Linked DNA regions of Mytilus edulis. The protein of the gene in region 2 purifies or fractionates together with the protein of the main gene of each other region. This does not show direct contact. Links are inferred from orthologs where the notes say so. Each region holds a gene or a part of one and is shown on either strand. Other genes may lie near its edges.

Region 1 (3,842 bases), on a different chromosome or scaffold from region 2:
TATACAAGAAACTGAACTGAACCTGTCAAAATATAAAAGGGGTTTAAAAGAATACTGCATGAAGATGTTGGTTTAAACCTAATCATTTGAGTCTGTAGTGTGTGTATTGAACCGCTAGTGTCAATTTAACTCATAACATTTACAAAGTCTGAAAGACATCAACATTTCTTGTGGATATTCTAAATATTTCTTTTTTAATATACATTAAATGTAATTTTGATTAAAACAAAATGTAAACCTTTTCATGTTCAACATATCCATAGGTAACCGTGACTGCATTCTTTCATACTCTGTTTTCATTATCTCTGTCTGAAAAAACAACAAATAAAGCATTTTTATAAAGTGACTGAAAACAAAATTTTCGCTTGAAAAAACATGAATGATTTACAACGTAACTGCCTATCAAAAATAACCATTGTATCTCTATGTCATGTTCCTTTCACAAATACTGCACTCATGTAGGCTGTAAGAGTGGCTTTTATTTCTTTGAACATTTATTGCAATATGAATGTTGGAGATGAATATCATCGTGTTTTACCTTGTCCACCAAATACAATGAAATAGATCTTTTCTAATAAAAAATTTACCTAAATATTACTATTCATGGCCAAAGTAAAATTATGTTGATTCATTGCACTGAGCCACTCGCATTGTTAATCTGACAGTAAAACTATGTATTTATTTAAAAGCCGCTTAGAAAATTGTATCATATATATTCTTGAAATAGTATTGTATAACATATTACTTCTGTTCATTTTTGTATATGTTTGTTTGCAATGTTCTTTAGACTTTACAATAGATTATCTAAATTTTAAAAATAAATAGGATGCTTCTCGGCTACAATCTCAAAGAATGGCTAAAAAGACTTCCTTTGAGTTGGAGGACCATAGCTATATAGATATAAAAAAAGATGTGGTATGACTATGATTGCCAATGAGACAACTCTCCACAAAAGACTAAATGACACAGAAATTTACAACTATGGGTCAGCTTACGGACTTCAACAATGAGTAAAGCAAATACTGCGTTGTAAGCTATAAATCTGATAATCTGTATTTTCATAGGCAATGTCATTGACACATGCTTATGGTACCAGAGGGTTTTCATTCTACTCAACTTCAAATTTTTTTTCAGTCATGTAGCTTTAAATGAAAAATTACCAAATAAAAAAATTTAAGTTTAATCTACCATGTCTACTGTATACATCATTATTTGCCACAGCATGAATATTTAATGCAAATAATGTATTCATTCATGAAGGGGGATAGGACCTTAATCGGGACTCCGGGATCGGGTGTTTCAGGATGTCAGGATTTAAATTATATTATTTACTCCCCCCCCCCCCCCCCCCAATTCATACCTCAAACTAAATACATTTTTAGAGCAGGTAAAATTTCTAAATATATTTTTGTAATTACCTCGAACTGTAGATAGTTAGGAGCAGGTAAGTATTCTAGATAATTCTTTGTAGGTCTGTATCTTCTGGTTTCTTCATCAACCAAAGCAAGAGCCTAAAATTAAATTATACAACACATAAAAATGAGGCACAAAATTTAAGCCTAGACTTAATTCCTTAAGAAAAATTGTGATTTTTATATTGAAATGTCCAAGGATTCTAATCAAGGAAGTTTGTTTTTCTGTTATCTTTTAAATTATTCCTTTATCGATTTTAAGTATCAAATCATCAAATATAAAAAGGCGTCAAAACAAAATAAAGAAAGTAGCCTTTAACGGGGGCTGTATTAGTCAGATTCCCGTATCCCGCTTTAATACACTATGTACGTAAGCAATTCTTATTTTTTGGTTATTTCCTGTGACCCACTAGAATTCATTTCCCGTTTTCAAAGCACAATAATTTGACTTTCACATGTCACACTTTATGTTACCAGACAGCATGTATATTGACTGAGCTAATGAAGTACTTTCTTAGTTCAACTGCTTACGGCTGACTAAGGATCTACCATATCACCCTTCCCCCACCTCCAGAAAGTCTAGTCATAATACCATTATAACTCTAACACATATACAAATGTACCCTAGATAGAATTCTTCTCTTACCACTGTGGGTTTTTTTAGTTGGGCGCTAATGTAACTCGGTCTGCAGAGACACAGGCACTCATCTCCGAAAAAAAATTTCTGAGACGAGTGCCTGTGTGCAGATCTAGAGAGTATACAATTCATTACAAAATTGCTCGTCTCGACTCCCACTGGGACATCTGTGTTACAAATACAAGGCAGTTCAACTGTATCAGTTCCAGGCAGAGCATATACCGAGTAAGCTATAGAATTAAATTACTTCCTTAGCAAAATATATTTATATAATTATATATATATTTTTTTTACTGCATAAATAATTGCGACTTCTCACGTGTATGAAGTTTTAACTTGAGAGGCCATTATAAGTGGGTCATGAATGAATAAACAGTAATTTGTATTTAATTTGTATTATCTTTGATTAAACTTACGGCTTCTCGAACACCTGGTTCGTCATATCCTTGGTCAAAATAAGGTAAGGCATCGACAACAACTTCTCCAGCCATTGTATACTAAGGGGAGATAACTTAATATTTCTGCTATCTCGGGCCATAACAAACTCGGCCTATAACAAATTCGGCCCAACCCATACAATCGGACTATAATAAGCTTTGACTATTACGACCGTTAAATCAGACAATAATTATGATGATGGGTGCTATTTACTTCATTTGAACACAATGAATAGTAACAACCAAAATATGCACATTCAATTTTTTTTTACTATTTTACTTTAAGACGAAATCATTCCATTCTTAAATTTACGGATGCCATCAGGAGTTGGTTGACCTTTATGGAATATAAGTTTCACAGATGTATGATTGCAGATGTGTCCCATATGTCGTAACTACAATCTTTTCCCTTTTTCACAAAATTTTCCTAACAAGTAGGACTTGTTACAGGGTTTGTACTAACATGAACGACACAATGGGCGACACATGTGGAGCAGGATCTGCTTCTTCTTTCGTTAATCAGCAACGGAAAAATAGCATCACGCTGATGCTGTGTCATCAAGTGCAGGTGCTGTACAATTTGTGATCAACAAAACCGAAAAGTAAATACTGTTACCCTTCCAGAACACCTGAGATTACATCAGTTTTTGGTGGGGTTCATGTTGCTTAAGTCTTTAATTTTCTATGTTGTGTGTTTTATGTACCATTGTGTTTGTCTGTATATCTTTTTCTTTTTAGCCATGGAATTGTGAAGTATAATTTTGATTTATGGGTTTGAATGTCTCTCTGGTATCTTTCGTCCCTCTTTTATTGTGTTTTGAATATTAGATAGTTTATGCAGTACGTCAGCTATTTTTTTATTGCATGGTATAAAAGCTGTTCGGCAGGGTTCATCTGACATATTTCTAATTTTCATCACCCATGATAGATCAATGATAAGTTTTTTCTGGTTGTCTGTTTTTTTAGATACTACATATAACTAATATACCTAGGCTGACTTTATTTAATGTATGAAATGATTGATTGATATTGATTTTGGTGTTTTAACACATTTCTTTTGGGCTATTTGGTGGTGGTCAGTTTTTATTGGTGGATGAAGCATAGAAATCCACAGACTTTGGATAGGAAAACTGCAATTCTTGTCAATTAAGATTGGAGTCAAGTCCACCTGCACGAGCAAGGTTCAAACTCACATTAGAGTTGACTGGCTAGTGATTACTGTGGTAACAATTTAGACCACTTGACCACTGAGGTCCCATGAAATGATTGAATTGTTCACATGTCTGGCAGGGTTTCATCTGATCTTACCTTGTCATTTACATAAACCCAATCTGTTTGAGTCTTTAAACATAAATT
Region 2 (3,600 bases):
ATAGGCCATGACTGAGGAGCAGGGTCAATTGATTTCTATAGAAATGAAAAGTGTCAATGAATGATTATACAATTGCATACTTTATATCATTGGTTTAACATAAGTTTTTCCCATTAAACTGGCCTACTTTTAAGTACTAAAAGGCATTTTATAAACTGAATTTTAATGTTGGTATTGCTGTGTGTTCTTCACTTTTGCTTCAGTCCCAAGTCAGGAACCTCTGGCCTTTAATTTGTTTGTCTTGAATGTTTTTTATTTTTTGTTCATTTATATGTTTTGAAGTTTTCACTGAACTAGAACACATTTTTATTTAGGGGTTAGCTTATGCCCACCTCAAGTGCAGGATTTTCTCCCTGCATTGAAGACCCATTGGTGGCCTTCTGCTGTTATTTGGTCGTGTAGTTGTCTCTTTGACATATTCACCATTTCTTTATTCAATTTTACTAATCAATTTACTGTTGACCATGCTGTAGAAACAGCATAACTATAACTTACTCTTACTCTTATATTAATCCACCATTTTTTACATACATGTAAGAATGGTTGGATTTTTTTTAATACATTTGTCGATATTTACATGTACCTGCCTGTCCTTGACATTGCAAGAGATATCTTTTGAATCAGAAGCCACATAAAGGTGAATTTTTCACAAATTCTGAGGTTCAGTGTTGCAGATTCCAACATAGTCATTACAGTATATCAAAAGGTAGCCTGCTACAGAAATATCACTAGACATACAACTGGGTAGTAATGCCCTTTACAGTCAGGCGTCAACTGTCAATTTTCGGCTACTGTTAGCGTCAAATTGATTAAAATTTTACTGTGATTTGTAAAAATATCCTTATTGTGATTCGTCAGAGGGCTCAAATAATTAACGTTACCGTTATTTTTGGAAATAAATAAACGTGATCAACTAAATCTTTATTTTTTTATTGTCTACATGGTCTAAAAAAGAAAGTGCACATTTAATCGTCATGCACCAAAAATTACTGTTAACGTCATTTGGCAACAATTTTAACTGTTATTCGTCATGTCCATTACCACCCTTATACAACAGTATCAATATTAAGAATGTTTGATGTAAACGCCAAAACAAAAACATGCACTGTTGTAAAACAAAAATGTAAGCGTGTGTGAACTGATAAACTTCTTCTTCTTCTTCTTCTTCTGATATACAGTTACAGCTTCATTATTATTGAAGATTACGAACTGTTGCATGCGCGGAGTATATGATTAAAAAATATGAACAAAAATTTATCTTTAACTTAGTAGAATACTTGGTGATATTTACATGAAAGAAAACAACAAGTGATTAAAAAATATGTACATTGTTATTTATAGAATTAAATTATGTTGTGGAGAACAGTTGGTGTCAACTGATCTCTGTAAATTTCAATGGTTTGACTTGCTACCACAACTTGTGGCAACATGTTCCATTGAATGATTGTTTGCGGAAAGAATGACCATTTGTAGCTGTCTTTAGAGGTGGATATTTGCCGAAATGTTTGAGTATGTCATTTTCTTGTTCTAGTATCTGATGGTATGAGGACTAGTGATGGGATTGCAATGAGTCCATGGATGACCTTGTAGAACATGATAAGTCTGGTTTTGAGGCGGCGCTCACTGAGTGAGGGCCATTGTAGTTCGTTTAACATGGATGTAACGCTACTGGTGTTGTGGTAATTGTTACATACATATCGGGCCGCACGCCTCTGTACCATTTCTAGCTTATTTTTATAATCTGCTGTGTGTGGATCCCATAGACTACAGGCATATTCGAGTTTTGGTCTCACTATTGATTGGTAAGCACGGGATTTGATACTGGAGTTAGAAATTTTTAAGTTTCGCCTAAGAAAGCCAAGAGATTTATTTGCATTTGATACGATGTTGTTGTAGTGAATGTTCCATTTTAAGTTAGACTGTAGGGTTACGCCAAGATATTTTGCAGATGTTACTAGTTCTAAAGTATGGTTATGAAGGATGTAATCGTGTTTAAATGGTTGTTTTTTTTGTGTGATGGTTAAGATAGTGCATTTTCCAGGATGGAAGGCCATGAGCCAATCAGCCTCCCATTTCGCTGCTGCGTTAAGATCTTTTTGTAAATTTGTGCAGTCTTGTTGACATGTTATTTCTCGGTATATAATACTGTCATCAGCGAAGAGTCGTAGTTTGCTGTGTTCCAGGTATTCTGGAAAATCATTAATGTATATTAAAAAGAGTAAAAAACTTCCAATAATGTATGGACATTTACCTCCGTGTTACGCCAAACACCTCCTTTTATCATAATTCTCGGCATCTTGGCCTTTCACTTCTTAGATCTCTGTAAAAGGTGCCTAAAATGTAATTGTCTAAAAGTTTTTTTTTCCAATAACGTTGGGTATAATAAATTTAGCTAATAACCAAAATTAACAACGGACACGAATATATTTTAGATACACAACTCTATATATGATGATTGACTGCATTTCTGTACAGTTTTATTATTCTTCATATATTTTGTATAGTTCTGATATTTAATATAACCAAAATTAATCATTTTAAGAACAAAATTCGATAAATACATTTTATTTTGGTAACATGCTAAAAATGAACACTTTATTCTTCTGCAGCCTAATAGAAAGTCTAGAGAGAATCGAACGATATTTCCCCGCCTTTTTGAAAATAGCTGGATAAGCAGCCGGATTGTTTACACATCGTTTCCCAATCCTTTCTCAGATACAAATACAGTATAAAAGAACATATTTTTTTTACAGGAAAAAACGTAGTTCAGGATGGTCACCTCATCTTCCTGTTAGAATCATTGCAGATGAGGTGGCCACAATCAATTTGAACAGTTGAAAAAAATTATCTGAGACTATAACACATAGTAGTCTCAGGTTGAATGCATAGCAAATAAATTATTCTGAGCTCAAGGCATCATGTGAGCCATTACCATCACTGTGCCCCCTTGATTACTTTGCAGTTTCTTAATCAAAACATTTGAAAAATACCTGCATGATCATATGATTCATATTTGAATGAAACATCTTAATGATAGTCCATTGGCCAACTATCTATTTGATTCTATTATACAGAAATTGCTTCTCTTTTTCAAATATGACTGGTTCTATATCGTACAAATTTGGGGTCTGTCCTCAAAAGGCAAAATAAGTTGAATATGAAATATCAGCATTTGAATAATTCTGGAAGAAAAAAATGAAAAGCGCAACGGTTACCAGAGTTCCTGTCAACGTATATTTGTTCCACCTAATAGAAGTTCCAGTGGAAACTTTGTTATAAACAATGTCATAATACCTGTACCTGATGGAACAAATATTTTATACATTGGTTAGAGGTATAGGGGGAGGGTTGAGATCTCACAAACATAATTAACCCCGCCGCATTTTTGCGCCTGTCCCAAGTCAGGAGCCTCTGGCCTTTGTTAGTCTTGTATTGTTTTAATTTTAGTTTCTTGTGTACAATTTGGAAATTAGTATGGCGTTCATTATCACTGGACTAGTATATATTTGTTTAGGGGCCAGCTGAAGGACACCTCCGGGTGCGGGAATTTCTCGCTACATTGAAGACCTGTTGGTGACCCTCTGCTGTTGTTTTTTATTT

Evidence for each region.
Region 1: the proteins of cell division cycle 5-like protein (region 2) and pre-mRNA-splicing factor SPF27-like purify together in Homo sapiens (co-immunoprecipitation; 8 studies listed by BioGRID and IntAct, with this or other methods). This does not show direct contact. The link is inferred for Mytilus edulis from reciprocal best matches to the Homo sapiens genes CDC5L and BCAS2.

The regions. Positions count from the first base shown.
Region 1 is NC_092356.1:71,257,449-71,261,290, reverse strand, and holds the start of pre-mRNA-splicing factor SPF27-like, read right to left. Parts: upstream 2,605-3,842; 5' UTR 2,541-2,604; coding exon 2,466-2,540; intron 1,512-2,465; coding exon 1,419-1,511; intron 310-1,418; coding exon 239-309; intron 1-238. UniProt on the Homo sapiens protein: Required for pre-mRNA splicing as component of the activated spliceosome. Component of the PRP19-CDC5L complex that forms an integral part of the spliceosome and is required for activating pre-mRNA splicing.
Region 2 is NC_092353.1:26,600,811-26,604,410, reverse strand, and holds the start of cell division cycle 5-like protein, read right to left. Parts: upstream 2,407-3,600; 5' UTR 2,297-2,406; coding exon 2,252-2,296; intron 1-2,251.